3 linked regions of the Drosophila melanogaster genome follow. The protein of the gene in region 2 interacts with the protein of the main gene of each other region in a pairwise test. Each region holds a gene or a part of one and is shown on either strand. Other genes may lie near its edges. The genes, in order: CG15602, Vps4 and CG1894.

What was found.
Region 1: the proteins of Vps4 (region 2) and CG15602 interact in a two-hybrid assay, tested with the Drosophila melanogaster proteins (one large-scale study listed by BioGRID).
Region 3: the proteins of Vps4 (region 2) and CG1894 interact in a two-hybrid assay, tested with the Drosophila melanogaster proteins (one large-scale study listed by BioGRID).

Annotation. Positions count from the first base shown.
Region 1 is NC_004354.4:15,796,781-15,802,310, reverse strand, and holds CG15602 (uncharacterized protein), read right to left. Parts: upstream 2,886-5,530; 5' UTR 2,638-2,885; coding exon 2,590-2,637; intron 2,519-2,589; coding exon 2,274-2,518; intron 2,216-2,273; coding exon 1,738-2,215; intron 1,673-1,737; coding exon 1,415-1,672; 3' UTR 1,350-1,414; downstream 1-1,349. Other genes in the region: PGRP-LE (peptidoglycan recognition protein LE), read left to right, coding at 1-171, 235-348, 564-628, 701-1,060; sordd2 (suppression of retinal degeneration disease 1 upon overexpression 2), read left to right, coding at 4,079-4,644, 4,708-4,874, 4,940-5,058.
Region 2 is NC_004354.4:17,905,845-17,913,348, reverse strand, and holds Vps4 (vacuolar protein sorting 4), read right to left. Parts: upstream 5,658-7,504; 5' UTR 5,498-5,657; intron 4,776-5,497; 5' UTR 4,772-4,775; coding exon 4,636-4,771; intron 4,542-4,635; coding exon 3,680-4,541; intron 3,569-3,679; coding exon 3,340-3,568; intron 3,272-3,339; coding exon 3,170-3,271; 3' UTR 2,252-3,169; downstream 1-2,251. Other genes in the region: CG7772 (uncharacterized protein), read left to right, coding at 6,292-6,397, 6,471-6,696, 7,012-7,174; Gss2 (glutathione synthetase 2), read right to left, coding at 7,472-7,504.
Region 3 is NT_033777.3:28,481,617-28,487,362, reverse strand, and holds CG1894 (uncharacterized protein), read right to left. Parts: upstream 2,807-5,746; 5' UTR 2,712-2,806; coding exon 2,607-2,711; intron 2,526-2,606; coding exon 1,365-2,525; 3' UTR 1,301-1,364; downstream 1-1,300.

The sequences.
Region 1 (5,530 bases), 2.1 Mb from region 2:
TTAATGGAAATATACAAATCATAGCCGATGGCCTTACTCAAAACCGAAGAGATCGGCGGCATGTTTCACCACCGAGAGATAACGCTCCCAAAACTCCGACACATTTCGAAGACGACTATCAGGACGAGTCGGAGGAGAGGGTGCGCTCGGATGTGTTCATCAGGCGCCAGAGTAAGCTATCATTCACCAGGGGATGCATACACGTTAACCATAGGATACCGATTTCACTTACAGAATTCAAAATACCCAAGGAGCTGTCCGCCATCATTCCGCGCTCTTCGTGGCTAGCACAGAAGCCCATGGACGAGCCACTGCCCTTGCAACTGCCTGTTAAATATGTGGTTATCTGTGAGTATTCAAGTTTGCTGCACGTTTTAACCATTTTTTTGCCAACTGATTATAAATCAAGTTGTCTGTAAAAGTATGACGCAATAATTAAAACAATTTATACTATTTGATCTGACCATCATGCTTAGCACTCACTAACCTAAGATTATATCGTATTATAACTCTTTTCGAATATATTTAAAACCTTGATTAACAAATATTGTTTTACCACGCAGTACACACAGCTACAGAGAGTTCAGAAAAGCGGGCGATCAACGTAAGACTTATCCGTGACATGCAGGTAAGTATTTCGTTAGCGAAATTAAATCATATATGCTCCGAACTATATAATAATTATGTATATATATTTCAGTGCTTCCACATTGAGTCGCGGGGATGGAATGACATTGCGTACAACTTCCTGGTCGGCTGCGATGGCAACATCTACGAGGGACGCGGATGGAAAACGGTGGGCGCCCACACTCTGGGTTACAACAGGATCTCGCTGGGGATCAGTTTCATTGGATGCTTCATGAAAGAACTCCCGACGGCAGACGCCTTGAATATGTGCCGCAATCTGTTGGCCCGCGGCGTTGAGGATGGTCACATATCCACCGACTATAGATTAATTTGTCACTGCCAGTGCAATTCGACGGAGAGTCCTGGTCGGCGATTGTACGAGGAGATACAGACATGGCCCCACTTTTACAATATCGAGGAGGAGGAACAATGAGGGACAAAAGAAGAGCACCATTTCACATACTTAGACTTAAATGCACCCGAGTTACGTTTATAATGTTGAACATTAAATCACCTGTTTATAAATTTTCCAGCTACTGGCAGTTTCGTTAAGTTACTTTATATTTTGGTATAGTTTTTGCAGCGCTGAAAGGTGGAAAAACCACAAGATGTTTCGGAACCAACATCGCCTACCTGTTTTAATTCACAACTGAAAGAGAAGCAACAATTATACTGCACAAATATGAGCGAGCTAGCACCACATAAATACAGACAATAGTAATGCATTTGCTGAAAACAATCTATAATTAAACAAAAATTTGCGTACAGTCAAGTAAACAATTAACAATTAGAAGTGATTTTCTTTAAGCTTTGGCGGAGCCGAATACTTTTCCTTAACGTGAGCACGGTACTCCTCGTCATCATCGTGGCACTCCTTATAGCATAGAGTGCAAAAGAGTTCCCCACCACATCCGTGGCATCGGAAGTCGGCGTCTTCGTTACAAATATTGCACCAGGGCAATTCTTCGGTGTTGCCGGGCGACTCAGTGTTAATTGGACTAATTTCACTCTCGGAAGGTTCTGGTAAGCGCGATTCTGCTACATACTGAATGGGAATACGAAAGTGATGATTTGGCTTAAAAAAAATAATGCTACTATATAAATGCGAACCTTTTTCAATATGTTCTGTAGAAGTGTCTCGTCATCCTCTTCGTTGTCCGCGATACTTTCCATCTGGGATCTCGATGGGCATGCATCGGAATCGACGGGTGTATCGCGCAGAGCTCGCAGACGTCTCTCAATGTCGGAAATTGAGTCATCCCTCTGCCTGCTGATATTTTGATCCAGTTGGGCTTCGTCAACGAATTGTGCGAGCAAGTCCCTCATTTTCTCCTGATCGTTTCTTTGGTCGGTGGACAGTAGCAGATCTTTCTTATCGTAGCTTTTCGTATGCGGCATCCCAGTGAGATTGGCCAGACGGGTGCGGATCTCATCATCGGTGGCATCAACTCGTTTATAGTCCTGCATTCGTTTGGTCAACTCACTGTCCAGGTTCTCATCAATATGATCCTTGTGATCTTTGGAATGTGGTGACGAACTGGAACTGGGAACCAATGCCTGTGGCAGCTCCTCCACAGGCAGGCTGTCGCTGCAATTAATCGAATTATAGTTTCAGAATCGGTGTTTTAATGTGGTATTTTACTTACTTGAATAGGGCATCGGCGCCATCTGAACTTTTGGATGGAGGAGCCAGGTTCATTTTGGTGACTAAGATCCCCGGCAAAGCATCACAGTCTATAACTTTCTCGGCATCGGCGCTCGCCTGGAGTTTGGATAGTTTGTCGTAGCATATGAGGCACACATTGTGCACCTTTCCTGCATGACGGGGCACGGGCATTGGTCTCTTCAAGCACTTGGAGCAGAATGAGTAGCCGCAGTTGGGGCATCCATACTAAAATTTCGGATTTAACACAATGTAAGTAGGTGATATATGTTGGTTTGCTTTGGTTTGATGGCACTTGCCTCCTTGCAGAATAGGCCATATTTGCGACCGCAGCCAAAGCAGCTCATTGCAACCAGAGTCACCAATGGAACATATAAATTGAAAAAGTTTCAAATTTCGTTTGCTTTGTTTTGAAAGAAGCCAGTTCTAATTAGGGATGGTGTACAGTGTACAGTGGGTGAGCTATCGATTACGACTTAAACGCATTAGCGTTCTAAAAATCAGCTGTTCCTTGTTTTGGTTTAGTCTAATATCAATATTATTAAATTCTTGAGCTTTGTTGTGACCAGATCGTTAGGAACTAGAGATAGTCGAGTGAGTCCTGGTATCGATTGTCCATGGCACACAACAGCTGTTAATGAATAGTATTTAGTCTTGTAAATGTATTTAGTAGTTTATTTTGTTTACAAATCAATCGAGGACTGATCACTGATCACTTTTCAAATGATTCATTGAGATCCGAGATTTTTCACCTAACTCGATAGTTATCTAACGCGAGCGTGGACTTTGGTCCGGTGGAGACGGGCTGTTATACAGGCAGCTATTTACCGATAGGGTAAAGGTCTATCGGCCTCGGTCAGGTATCGTCAGTGCAATTGTTTTGAGGTGCTAAGACGTCAATTGATTGACTTGTCCACACAATCAATTTAGCAACATTCTCTGATTCGGTTTAACAATACTTAGCACGGCAAGTAGAAGCAAACAGTGAGCGAAAACAAACAATAAAATGAGGGCAAACAAGTCAGGTTTTGCAAACAATACACTTACAATGTAAGTAATTTTGAGAAGTTATACTATTTGCTGTGCCACAGGAAGTTATATATAGTTTAATTAAGTTATAATGCGTTTAAACGCAATCCCTGGAACTCGATGTATATGAGCATATAATTCCCCTTGACTCCAATAGGAAGTGCTCCATGAAAACATTATGTGACATCTATACGTACTGTATAAATAAGCATATAATCGGTTCCAATGTACATATGTAACAGGTAGATGGAAACCTTCTAGCCCTATATACACGCGAGTGTTTGAGTGTGTAGATGTGTACATAAGTACGCACATAAGTCCAGGTACATATGCAGGTATACCGTCTTGTTTGCCAACGCAATTCAAACAAAATTTGACTTTTTTGTTTAATTTATGTGGGTGCAGCCAATGGGAATGTTCGGTGCATTATCCTTGAAGACTTGGTGGTAAATACGCCCTTTGGGCGGTTTTCGTAGCCATAAACACCACCCCATGGGGTCGGACAAATGCTGAATGCTGCGGAACTCGGGGGAAACCCCCTTCAAACTGCGCTTGAAGTATTTAATTAAATTAAGTCATATTCAAGAAAGTGCGGACCTTAGTTGTACACCAGAAATGGCCTAGGAAAATCATCTAAGCAATCTAGGCACTTGTCAATAGGGTGAACACAGACTTACTTAGCAAATTTGGGTTTCTAAATCATCCAACGTTACGTTGCAGCTTGAACGACTAAAACTTTACCCGCATCTTGGGCAAACCATGGAGGAACCGAAAAGTGTATCCACAGCGGAGCTTCCCAGCACATCAACCGGGGCATCGTCGTCCTCATCGACTTTGTCCAACAACGTGAGCTACGACAAGATAGCCTGGACTCGGGATATCACAGAACCCTTGGCTGAGGAGTCATCTACAAGTCAATTGCGCCCGCTGGGTACCTCGATTCCAACCAATTCGACGGCATCGGAACTGAAGAAGTCCAACACTTCGTATTCCTTTACTGGAGACTATCTATCTGGTGGCAATAAGGCCGATCTGAAGGGTGGCTATCCATTCGGCGGCACCGATACGGACACAAAAGCCAACGAAAAGGACAAGGAGAAGGAACATACCGCAGACGACTCACTCTACGAGTGCAACATATGCCTGGACACCGCCAAGGATGCTGTGGTCAGCATGTGCGGCCATCTGTTCTGCTGGCCGTGCCTGCATCAGTGGCTCCTGACGCGTCCCAATCGCAAACTCTGTCCCGTTTGTAAGGCTGCCGTTGATAAGGATAAGGTCATACCGCTGTACGGAAGAAATAGTACACACCAGGAAGATCCACGGTAGGTTTGAACCGCTTTCAACATGAGTATTTTTCAATAACCCAACTTATATGTGTTTTGCAGTAACAAAGTTCCACCACGCCCCGCTGGACAACGTACAGAACCAGATCCTGTTCCCGGGTTCCCTGGATTCGGATTCGGCGACGGATTTCACATGTCTTTCGGTATTGGAGCTTTTCCTTTCGGGTTCATAACATCTAGGCTCAACTTTTTCGAACCACGTCCACCTGGTAGGTTACATGCCATCTCAATAGTTCTGAGATTGACATTAAATAACATTTGCCCATGTATTTAGCTGATATTAGAAGGCTACACGAAGATGAACCCTGGGCCCTGTCAAAACTGTTCTGGCATTTTGTCGTTTTTGTGATATATGGGCTGCTCGTTCCAATAGTGCACGGATCATCCCGATAAGAAGAACCTATATTCAAATGTCAATGGAAAGCGTGCGAAGTAATCAAATAGCAGTATCCTCCAGTTAAATCAACAATATTGTTAAACTCGTTGGGCTATAGTCGTTGGTGTGATTAATTAACATAAATTGTTAGCATTCGGTTATAATTGTAATTTGAGGATTCGCAAAACAGAAGTGGATTGGGTCCCAAATTATTTCAAAAAGTCTGCAATACCCTACGACTTCAGCATAAAAAACTGAAATTTCGAAATAATTGGATCGTAATGATTTAATTCAAATGTAGATTTCAAAAATTGTATAAATTTATATTTTAAATTCTATAAAACATTAAAAACATTTATTTTAATTTATTTTCCGTGTAGATTATTATCGATGGGTGAAAAAAATCATTAAGTTTTTGCTTAACTTAAACTGCACAACATTCTTTTTAGGGATCAGGGATAACGTGAATTTCGAAGATGCTGAGGATAT
Region 2 (7,504 bases):
AAAGAAATAGTTGCAGTATATTCCTTAATTGTTTTTAGCCCTTTCCATTTGTTTTCGATATAATTTGAGTTGAAACTTTGTTGCAACTGCAACTGTATCAACTGCCTGCAAGATCAATGTGATAAAAGCCACTTAGCTAAATTTGCATAATAAAACATCAGTTAGTGAAGCAAAATGGCATATGATTAAAATCGAAACTACCCCTTTATGTGCACAATTTTCTTGCGGTGCAATGTGCCACTGACTTGACCAAATACAAATTTGTAAGCCAAATTAATATAATTCATTGCTGTTGGCCAGCAGTGGCATTGATGGAATTTTATGCACTTTAATTTTGGAGCGCGCACCACAGATCTTAGTCATAAATTTTAAGTTGGCAGTTTTGCTTGGAACTCAACTTTAAATTGTATGATTTGACTTTTGTTTGTTGGCTCTTGGAGTTTTTTTTTTCAGTTGTTGCTGGCGGCGACAATTCGTGTCAATGTCAGCATGATTTAAAGTTTTTTTCTGATCCACAAGGGGCTGGGGGCGGGGGGAGGTCAGGTGTTGATGTCAGTGCGTCTGCAAACAAGTTTAATCGAATAATGCATAATATGCACCTGGTGGCCAAAAGAAAAACCAAACAAACTGGATGCAAGCAGTGCAGTGCGAGAAGTGCAAGCAGTGGAACACTGGAAGAAAACTGCTAGTGGCCACAATGATGATGAAAGGCTCTTCGTGCGCATAACTCAGTCAGTTGGACACACACATTTGAGCCGCAAGAAATATGCATTTCTGAAATAGTTTCGCAAAACGGCGACTGACACAAAAAACAGTAGCCGAAAACACAAAGTGAAGCACGCAAAAAAAAAAAAAAAACCAAGAAACAAATGGTTAAAACAATGCGAATGTGGGGGAAAAAACAGAGTCACATCGGCAACAACAGCATCAACCTTACCAATAATAACAACACCGAAAACAACAACAAATCATGAGAGTTCGGCTGCTGTGCGGCTTTAACTCGACTTCTTCTTCATTTCGCTCATTTGAGACCCGGCTCACGGTTTTCACCTGAAGCGCGTGAAAGTTGCGCTTCGTCGGGGCAGCAGCAGCAGCAGCAGCCCATGTGCACTGCGAGAAACGCCTGCCCACTTTGGTTGACCCTTCCAACAGCGCTCCTTTAAATCCACTAAATGCTACTAGCATCAGCATCTACGCTACTTGCAGTATCTCAAATTTATGTAAATATATTAATACTAATTAAATATTAAAATATTACTGATTTAGAAGCTTAAAGCAACATACAACACAGAAGATAGGAATGCTACATTTTAGTAACACTTTATTTAATGAAAACCATGCTGCAAAACGATTTACGATACAAAATCCACAAAGTTATAAGCCAACGTAAAAATTAATTCTTATTAAAAAAAAAACATTTAAAAAATGCTGATACTTATTGAATAAGCAGGACATTATTTTATATCGTGATAAATAATGAATATTTTCCTTTGTGCACCACAGACCGCACTTTAAAAAAAAGAGCTAAAATAAGGTGTGTAAGGTAAGGGCCAGGCCCCTGAGCCAGGTAATTAATGCACCTTGGAAAAACAAATGTCACTTGCACGCCAAACGCAAACAAAAACAAATCACAACAAATACGCACTTTTTTTTCGTATCTGGGCTCTATCACGCTTTTCACAAAGTTGCGCAAAACCAACCGAGAAACGTTGTCGCCGTGTATCTGTATCTTTTCGGCTTGTATCTTTGGCCTCATGCAGCGCAGACGACGGCGCTGCACTCACGTAACGGAACTGCCGATGTGCGGGCGAAATATAGCGAAAAACCTATAGCGGACCGATCCCACAATATTCAAACCTCTAGCCTTTGCGGCCGAAGATCAACTGAAACTCTGGCTCAAAGCACGGCTCAAAACTCACGAACCGAACGCGAAAACCCAGCGATCCGAAGGCGAAGTCGAAGAGCCGAAGAGCACAATCACTGCTCGGCAGCATTCGGCAGCGCACAGTGGAGCTGATGGGCAAAAAGCTTACAATAGGAAATAACATAATAATTCATACTAAAAAACTACATTCAAAATGTCTCAAATATTACAAATCAATCTACTTAAAGCAACGCTATAAAATAAAGATATTTTCATTTTTATAGCATTTATTTTCGATGGACTTAAATGCTTAAAACTAGGGAAAAGGGAAAAATATTTAAAAAAAAATATATATATATAAAGAACCAATGCAAAGGAAGAGCAGCAACAGAGAAATGCAATTTTTGTGTTATAAAAATATTTCAACTATGGCATCAGTAGGTTTCTTTTAGTTTGCTCCATACAAATAGGTCATTGCCCACTGTGCGCAGCTCGCAGTATGCTCGATATCTGGTCGATCGGCCAGGAACAAGCGCACATATGCTGGTGAGCTGGAAAGATCTTATCGCACTTGGCATGTGGGCCAGACGGCTGAGACTCTCGCATTCTGCCGCTGATACTCTCGGCGCTCAGTTTCTCCATTCCGTCCACCGGCCACCCACCCACCTGGTGGCTCACTTTGAAATGGGGTCACTTGCGGCGGCGGGGAATCCCCGCGACGATTCCACTGGCAATTGGCATTCCCGCTACGTCGTCATACATGGTATACAATTTTCGTTTTTATTTCTGGTACGTTACAAGTTAAATAGGTTTGCTCGACTGCGCTTAAACTCCGCAAACTGCTCCTGCTTCTGCTCCTTCTTCTCCTTCTGCTTCTACAGCTCTAGCTCCAGCTCCTCCGCTGATTGGTGCTGCTCTGATCTGAGGTGTCCGTGGCAAGTCCGAGTGGCAAATATTGCGCAAGCGCGGCGGACACTCATATTACATTAGGTTTCAAACTTCAGGCTGGATATCGGGTTTCTTCCGTCGCTTAACATTAAGAGTACAAAAATACATTGACTTTGTGATTACAACAATCCACAGATCCACCCGCTTCACGCTCACTGCATGTCCTTCATCTCCGGTTGCAATCGAACGACAAATTTGAATTAAATTTTAACCATATATCGTATGTATACATTATATATATATATAAAATAAAAAAAATGTTTAAGGAGAGCCAGAAGTAAAACGTGTTTGAATTTATGCAATAGGCAACAATTAGAATTAGCTGGTGGTGCTGACGATATCTGGCGGGGTTCGTGTCTAGCCCTCCTGCCCAAAGTCCTCTGTGAATTTGCGCAGCTTCTTCAGATCGTCTTCGTTGACGGTCGGTTTCGTGCGGGACAAGGACTTCAGCATGTCGCGCTGGATGTAGAAGTTCAAGAAAGATTATTGGCACTGCGAAAAAAGGTTGATAGCTAAGGATGCCGTACCATGGTCACGGGCGGTTCGAAGAGCTTGTCGCTGGGCACATCCATCCAGTTCATCTCGACGGCGCCCTGGTCGCCAGGTGAGCACGGAACCAGCAAATCGTTGACAATCTCCTCGTGGTTGGTGGGACTCGGACCGGATACCCGCTTGAAATGCGTGGCGGTCTGCACTTTCCTCACGGGTTCCATCAGCGCATCGCGCACAACGATTGATATATCCGCGCCAGAGTAGCTGCAAAACGGAAAATCATTCACTTAGTTAAATATGCTTACATATAAACATTATAAACAATGGATCAATTTTGTGTGATAGTGAAGCAAATAGTTTATAAAGTGCATTTACCCCTCGGTTTTGCCGGCCAACTCCTTGAGATCCTGCTCGGTGAGCACGTGCGTGGTGTTGCCCAGATGGATCTTGAACATGACGAGGCGGGCATGCGCCTCCGGCAGCGGAATGTAGATGCGCTTCTCGAATCGACGGCGAATGGCCGAGTCGAGGACCCACGGTATGTTTGTGGCGCCGAGAACGAGAATGCCATCGGTGTCATTGCCCACGCCCTGCATCTGCACCAGAAACTCGGTCTTGATGCGTCGCACGCTGTCGTTCTCGTTGTCCGATCTCGCCGAGCACATCGAATCGATCTCGTCAATGAAGATAATGGAGGGCTTGTGCTGGCGGGCCAGTTCGAAGAGATTCTTGACCAGCTTCTCGGACTCGCCCAGCCACTTGGACATCAGATCCGAACTGGACACCGAGAAGAATGTGGAGCGATTGGCCTCGGTGGCGACGGCCTTGGCCAGATAGGATTTACCGGTACCGGGCGGGCCGAACAGCAGGATGCCCTTCCACGGAATCCGCTTGCCAGTGAAGAGCTGCGGGAATTTAATCGGCAGGATAACGGCCTCCTTCAGCGCCTCCTTGGCGGCATCCAGGCCAGCGACATCGGACCACTGAACCTTTGGCTTCTCTATGACAATGGCGTCCTCCAGCTTGCTCTGCAGCTTCTTCTTCTCGGGATCGTCGCCGTCCTCGTCATCGCTGTCGCTCTTTTTGTCCTTGTCGTCCTTGGCGCTGGACTCACCACCCTCCTTGATCGGTTTCTTTTTGCCCTTCTTCAGGTACTCCTTTAGCTTCTCGGCCCGGTCCAAATACTGCAGGCACTTGGCCCGTATCGAGTCCTTGGCCTTCTCGCCCTGTGCCTCATCTGCTCGTTAGATAGTAATTTGATAGTTAGTAGTCAGCTTGCTTCTATTCAGTGAGTATAAGTGCATTTTAGATGCACTAATGGGACTGCTTACATTTGATGGTGTGCAGGAAGTACTCCACCCCGTGCTCATACAGACGCAGTGCCTCCGCGTAGTTCTTATTTCGATCCTCCTCGGTGGCCTTGGTCACCAGATCGATGGCCTTCTGTAGTGTGGTACCGGCTGCCATGGTGCTGGAAGTTACAAACGTTCACACATCATTATTTCAACTGGCATTTTGATGGGAGGAACTATCCACCAAGGCTTAACGTGGACTACTTATGGATTTTATCATCTTAATTTCCGCTTTCTAATCATTTCTGCTCAGCTTAGAGTTAAGTTGTCATATTTTAAAGCCTACAACTTTACTACACAGAGAACTAAAGATGCCACAAATATGTGGGCAAATCGATTTGTGCAATATGGAGCATAATGTATAGAATAAAGTTCAAAATAAAGTTATTAAACAGGTTCTAAAAATATAGTTACAATATCGATTTATGCAAAATCAACTGGATCTGATCCCAGCTTTGTTTATATCCTTTGATTGCTTTACACTCACTATCCAAAACGATTCTATAACTCATATTGTAATGCCAAACTTCCCGAGCATAATGATTCCATAGAATTTTGATATATTTCGGGCTGTAATAGCCCCCCTCCCCTTGGGAATCTATCATCTCGGCGTGAGTTTCGCTGGCCAGGCCGATGACGATGGTTACCCAATTGATCCTTGGCGGAGTAGTAACTCCCATCTTGCTACTCAGTGTCCTTCGGTGACGCAGTTCGCGAGCAAAATCGAATTTCTGGGCATGACTAATGCCCGAATACAGCGGCATTGACAAAAACACAAGTAGCCAACTTTTTGCGGGGCGGCTGCGGAGGGGATGGCGGGTCAGTTCCGACCATTACTCACATTTATGCTGGCTGACTTGCTCCTGGAATTCCGGCAAGCGTCACTGACTAACTCGCTGGCTAACTCGACAGGTGTTAAACAAAAGGAAAACTTAACTATTTTGTTGGAATTCCAACGCGAATGACGACGTCTTGTTTTTTTTTATTTGTCAGTGTGACCACAGCGCGGGCTGGGCCTTAGATTGCGGTGCAGCTGCAATGGTCACACATGGAAAGGTGAAATTACTTGGCGCGGTTTTTGAAAGTGTAGCCAAAAATCCAGCTCTAATAAATTCACATATGTGACAATATGACAATTTGTTCACATTACTTTATTTAACTTAAAAGAGTTCGGAACTCATATGTTATATGATTAAGTGTATAGCAAGCGATATTAAATGGACTTAGCTCATTAAAAAACGAATACAATATAAAAACTAATATATGATATTTCATAATTGCTATAAATTCCTATAAATTTTAATCGCCATAAATAGCTGATTTTAGCGTTTTTTCCACTAGCTCTGACAATCGATAACAATAATACATTATCGATACGCGCAATTAAAATATTTATATAAACAGTTTGTTTTTAAGTCTCCAATTTATAGGCAGTTAGGCGCTTTAATTATTTTATTTAAAGCGATATTTTAAGCGATTTCAATGAATTTTTAGGAAACTCAGTTGCCAGCTGATTTTGCGTCAGTTGGAGAAGATCAGATCATCTTGTCATATTACCCAATTACTCGAAAATCAAAATAGCATTAGAACTTCTGCCATTCCAAAAATAAAAAATAAAAATAAAAAAAATAGACAATGTCGGAGGACAAACAGTTCATCCGCCGGGATAAGGGCACCAAGAAAACTTCCACGTCTTTGAAGGAGGTGGACATCTACCGGGACACCTTCATTCGCTATATGGGTGAGTGTTCCTCCCAAGCAGAATCTGCCCAGATCCATCGAAATATATGAGTTTAATTGTTACGGCTTTGCAGGCTACAGCAACGAGATTGGCGAGTCCTTCCGCCCGCTGGTGCCCAAGTCTCTGGTGGCCGCATCCTACGGCATGGCCATCGGATACGTCTGCACGGACACTTTTGACAAGGCACTGCGCCTCCAAATGGAGGGCGCTTCCTCCAGAGAAGTGGCCGTCAAGGGCGGCGACGTCTTCTGCTGGCAGATGCTGGCCTCCGTCGCCATTCCCGGCCTGGTCATCAATCGGTGCGTTCAACCCTTGCCAGAAAATTGCCCAAAAACGTAGACTTAATGGTTGTATTTACATAGTTGGAAGTAGGGAATGAGGCGTCTTAAAGATTCCCTTTTTCCATTAGTTGCATAATACTTATCTTATATAAGCATAGTAAAAATTATACTATAGAGTGCATATACGTAGTAGAATGGCATGTGCAATGTTGCAAAAACAGGTTTATTGTATATTTGTAGATACACGATGAAGTCATCGTTCTCTCCAAGATCATACCCATTTTTATGAGTTTATGTTCACATAATAAGCAATGCTCATTTATATCGTTTTAGGATCACCTGGGCCACCAAAACACTGCTGAGCAAAGCGCCTATGCCCGTGCTAAAGACGGTGCCCACCCTGGTGGGTCTGGCCAGCATACCGCTTATCATCCATCCCATTGACAGCATGGTTGACCGCCTGATGGACGCCACCTACCGCAAGACGGTGCGGTAGTGAACGCTAGCTGGGATGTGCACAGCATTGGCCCAACTCCAAGTCTACTCCCATTCTACTCCACGGTGATAGTTCTTAGATACTAAGAGTTTACATGAACTGTAGCAAAGCTTTAGCCCCAAATCCAGTTTGCATATTGACCAGAATTTCTAGTTTAACATTTTATTTATTGACATTGGGACGGGGAAAAAATAGTGCAAAAAATTTACAATACGCTTTACAAAAATAATCATTTATACAAGACTGAGGCAACAGGTGGAATGCCGGCGTTCGAAGCCTTTATCTCGTTAAAGGATCCTACTTCTGCTCATCCTCGTCATCGCTATCGAT
Region 3 (5,746 bases), on a different chromosome or scaffold from region 2:
CTTCGCGCGGCTGAACATCAAACGTTTGCCTTGATTTCGCAGGATTTCTCGTTACAAACAGGATCTCTCGTCCTCCCACTTGGATGCCAACTTGGTGGATGCCCAACCACCTTTCCGTTTTTGTTGTTCTTTCAATCAATTTCAGCTGCCTCGCTGTGCAGTTTGGTTTCGCTTCCGCCACAGAGTGCTGGTGTATTTACTCCCGGGCGTCTGAAAATCCTTTTGTGTATCCCAGGACAACAGTTGCGGCTGCAGCTACGGCAATGGCCAATGCCAGCCGTCTAAAAACCAAATATGGAATGCCTTGAAATGTTGTCTTTGGGCCACACTGTTCAGATATACAGGTACACAATTTGTTAACGGCGTTTGATGAAAGTTATTTCCATTTCCCTGACGAAAATATAGCAGGGCTGCTTTGATTAAAGCTGTCGAATAATAATAACGACGTTGCTTAAATTGTTTATGCTGCTTGTTTTGATTCCATTTCCCGGCTATGTTGCTGGTTGCCTTGACTAGCTGTTGTTAGGGCAACCCAATCCTACCCAACTCAGCCCAGTCCAACTATCCCCAACCCATCCGATTTAATGTAATTTCTGGTACCCCCCTTCCGGTTACCTGTCAGCCGCACTTGCAACATGCAACAGTCGAATAGCAATGCCAGAGCATTGTGGGCCCTTTGAATGCACCAACGCAACACAACACATCCCAACCAATCCCCTGCCAAGTTATAGAGCTCACGCCGTTGCGTAAACAAAACACGCAGCCCTGACTTAATGGCTATGCACATTAGCAACGTGCCAGGGACTTTCCCAGTTGCCAGGTCTCCGGGTCCAGGTCAAGTAGCCCCGTAGCCCCCTTGGCTCCTGGGAAGCGGCGGACGTGGAACGATGGCCACGCTCAATAAGTGTATGGGACCATAAATGGAAATATTTACTCGGCACCGTCAACACGGCAAAGTGAGTTGAGTGAGGCTGTGGGTTAAGTAAGTGCAAGTGCAAAAGTCAACTTTGCCCGGATCTCAAATTGCCTAACAACCGACTGCCAGGCTCTTTGACGACTTCACTTAAAGTGCATGTGCCGTTGCTACCATAAAAGTTGCGCAATCAAACTTCGCAGCCACTTCAATGGGCTTGAGGAATCAGTTCCATGGGATGTCATCGATTTTTCATTAATACCTGGATTTTACCTAATTTCCGCAGGCCTTGAATTTTGATTATCTCGCTAATGTGATTTTTATTTTAGACTGTCTAAGGTACACCGCAAAAAATAAAATAAGATAAGGACATTCTTGTAGATGAGTGCAATCAGTTTACTAGTGTAAATTGTTGGCATACAAAGTGGCATACATATATCATGAAAATGTTCTACTTTCGTCCTGTGGGTGTCTTCCAGGAGAGGCGATTCCTGTGAATGGTCAACCTCGGCTTTTTAAACTGTGCGAGCCCACGGCGATCTTCAATTATCGATGAAGTAGTGTAGAACATGATGTGGTCAACCTTGTAGTACTTCGTCATCCCCATAAATTCTAAAGTGCTTATTATGTCCTCCTCGCGGAAGCCAGTCGCTTTGCTCAGCTCTTCGATGGTCACCAGGTCCGGTGATGAGTGGTGCCTCAGCAGATTGAGGAGGATGTGGCCCCAATAGCTGAGGTAACAAAGTCTGGCAACTTTCGACAGCGGCTTCTTGGGACCTCCGATGCATGCCTCCCTGCGAGAGATCTCGTAGCTCAGATCAATCAACAACTTTCCGTATCCCTTGCGCATATAGGGCGGTAAAACAAGGATGCAATTCAGGTTGATATTCAGCATAGTCTTCTCCCTGGCGAAGTAACCTGCAAAGTGCTCGCCATCCTTGTCCTTCAAACACAGGATATAAAACAAGAACGAACTCGAGCTGTAAAGAATTTTCTTGTTTTCCAGAAAGAGCTTTGACATTAGGCAGAGGCACTGGCAATACAGCTGCTCCTTATGGCCATCGACCTCGTAGATATAAATATTGTCTTTTCGGTATAACAAGCTGCCCGGCGGACACCTCTTCTTGCAATCGTATAGGTGGTAGGAGTAACTTTTCCGCAAGCACATGTATTTTAGGCAGAATTCACAAACGTAAATGGTGGTCGCCTTGTCGTTTATTACAGGATAGGGACTGGAAGACGTGGTCTCGATCTCGTAACGCCCAAATTGCACCTTTTCGATGTTTCTTATGACTTTCACTTTCGCGTCCTCTTTCTCTTTCTGGACATCACTTTTTTCATTATCTATTGTCTCCTGGCGCTGGCGATCATCCACATTGCTACTGGCATTAGTGTGTAATAAAGAAATCATATTAGGTTCCTTGACGCCTTCCAATTGCTTCTTCGGTGTAGCCCCTATTCTTTGAGCTTCGATGCACGATCCAGTAATGGTTTTAGTTTCCTGAATGTTTTTTTGAAGAGATGAATCGTTCTGAAGCTGGGATTTCCCCATTTCGGACTTAGAAGCACTTTGGCCTAAACCGCGAGTCGCGGAGGATTCCTTGGCATTAGTCTGAAGAGTGGCAAAAAAAAAATAAATTATCAGCAGTTTTTCATTCCTCATATGATATTCTTTGACCAGTATTGTTCTTACCAATTGCAGGGCTCTCGGAATGTCCGGCAATTTCGAACTTATCCCGTCCTGATCGCCCAACGGCTGATACTTTAAATGGTCACCTGATCTGTTTTCCTTGTCCATTTGTCAATTCCTATTGCGAATTTCACCCTTTTTAGAAAGCGTGGTTTTTCACTAGTGATGACACATTTAGCTTGATATCGATTAGTGATATCAATAATGAAACGATAAAGTTTGTTGTCAAAAAATCGAATCATCTAAGGAAGCACCAATATCAAAGCATTAAAGTTATTTTTAAATTTTAATTCCAATTTAACTTTCTGAACATATATTGAGCAAAAATATATATTATACAATAAGTTGTATACATTTTTTTCAGTGAGAAAACATTTCGGGATATAATCTCAGTCCTACGCCACACCCTGCTACCTTGATCTATCGAAGACGCCAGTGCAGGGACAACCCGGCTCAATACTAATTAAAATAAATGAACATTTACGTCGTCACAGCAGGTGGATGTGAGGGCGAGAGGCCAGGAGACCGGGCGAAAGATTAGGTGACGAGCCCGGGCCAACGGGAGACATCATTAAAATGCATGGTTCAAACGGTGCGTATACTTAATATAGATTGGATTGAGAGTGTGTGGATGGCGGGATGGGGGGGGGGGGGGGGTTCTAGCAGGATGGAAAGCTCCTGGATGAGTTGGCTCCTTTTGCTACAGCATTCGCTTGCGGTGGCTGTAATCTTTATGCGCCATGTTTTTATTTGTATTTATTATTGCGTTTGCGGAGAGCAGAGTAGCGAAGAGCACACTTTGTTTGCAGGTGAAATATTCCACGCATCCAGCGAAATGAGAATTTATTGACTTCACTCTGCATATGTGCGTGTGTCTGTGTGTGTGTGCCTTTTCTATAAGAGTCTCTGTTTGCGTACACGTAAAAATATTATAGCGATTTGATATATAGCTTTGTGCTGCAAAATATCTATGCGCTGCAGAAATATAAAAATGTCATGTCTCTACTAGAGAATATTACACAAAAATGATTAAAATTATATACATACTTCGAATCTCATTAAAATCAAACACTTTTTATTGCTGTGCTGCTTCGTTTCCGCTTGAAACGTGCCCCCACTGCATATTTATCTACGTCACACAAGTTTGATAAACACAACCATGGCTTCGAGACAACTCGAACGTCTGTTTGCATTTGTGCTTAATAACTTTTAAATGATGCGGGGAATGCCTTTGAAAACGAAGTCAACTGAAAGGAGGTTCCTGGGCCCCGGAGTCATACTCCCTAATTAGAGCCGTAGAGTCGTAGGTGTGTGCAGAACTATTCAAACAGGCCAAAGAAGTCGAGCTAACTTGAAGCTTAAATATTTTTAATAAAAATTCTTTTGTTATTTCGATATGTTTAAAGCACAGCACAGCTTCTTGTTAATGTATATATACATATACAATATTCTAATCCCAGCTTAATTTCACGCCTCCAAGCTTTTTGGTTCCTTGTTATTACTCGATACCATCAGTCTTATAAAAATATTAAGGCCAATGTTTGGGCTGGTAGCTCTGGATCGATACCTATTAGCCCTTGACCTGTACGGTGAAGATAAGCGCTGGGCTCCCAATGGGCTTTGCGAAACGGTTTCCATGGGGCCACGTAGTGTTGGGTGGGTTTGGACGGGCTTTTGTTTAGCCAGCTGAACATTTGGAAAATGGTTACAAACAGTTTTGAATGCCCATAATTGATGCAGGAGGAGCATGCCCAGAGCCCGGCAATCGCACTTCAATATGCATGCCAGTGTGCACTGAATACCCAGTTCCAAGTTACCATCCGGTTGGAATCAAACCAAGTGTGGTCAGGCGTCTCTGCTGGGCTGCCGGATGCAAAGCCGGAATAGTGGTCGGTCGGGTTGCGTTAATTAATAAACTGGGCCTACTTTAAGACGACGCCTGCGTTGGCCAATTGCCATGGCATCCATGCAGTCGGGCAACTAGGCAACTAGGCAGTCGAGCCGTAACCGCAACAACTTCAATGCAGTTTTGTCTGCCACAAAGCCGAATTTCAGTAACTGGCAGAGATTGCATCCTTTGCGGATACTTAACGAGTCGACGCCTGAGGAACGGTCCAATCCCAAACTGATGCCCTCAAAGCCGTATAATTGGCCAGCGATGCGCCATCATCGCCGGCATGGACTCGATCGATTCCTTTGAGCATTAGCCAAATGCCGCATTTTTGAAGTAATAAAGCACAGGTCAATCTCAGTTGTGGTTGCAGCCATATCAAATCGCACGAGTCCACAGGAATTTGGAAGCTATTTGTGCCACTAGCAGTATGTTAATATAACACACAAGTGATGCTCAAAACAGGCTCTTCGTTAGCCAATTCCAGCTGAGTTAATCAACTTTAACTGCACCTTCATATACTAGGGATGCCTTTAGTTGATAAAGGTTTGTTAATTAGATTTTGATTCGTTTGTTGCTTTTCTTTCCCGCGAATTCATTGAACCCAAGTTTTGCAACGACTTGTGTGACCATTTGGCTTGGTTACCCTCGTTCTGAATCATTTGGAATGCCCTTTAGTGCGCAGGCTAATTAACATAGTCTGATTGCTGAGTCAGTTCCATTTACGTCTGTTAAAATCCTTCTGAAAATGGAAAAGTTTTGAGAAAAAATGTAGCGTTGTCTTCAACAATATTATTCAACATTTTAGCCACCACCCAGCCACCTCATTCGCATAAGCAAAGTCAAGTTTTTGGCCAGAGTTGCAAAGTTTTTTGACTGGCTCAAGTTTTATCATATTTTTGCACAGGCAAATCTCAGCGAATAAGTCTCCGTTGCTCCGACTCTCGGTTCAATTTGCATACAGAGTTCGAGCATTATTTTTATTTACCTGATTCAGCGCTGATTTATGATTTTATCGTGAAAAATGCAGAGCTGCGGCGGACGAAGGACTACGAAGACGACAAGGACGTGGACGTGGATGTGGTGGAGAGCGAAGCTCACGGAAAGTCAATTGAAATGCAAACGTGGCCAGTGGTTGCCTTCCGGTGTCCGCGTTGCTGGGTGTCCGGGTGTTCGGAAGTGGATCCCAAGCTCCTCCTCCTGCCTCCATTGTTTGTGTGCACCATTGCGTTTGGCCATAACTCAAAGCTTG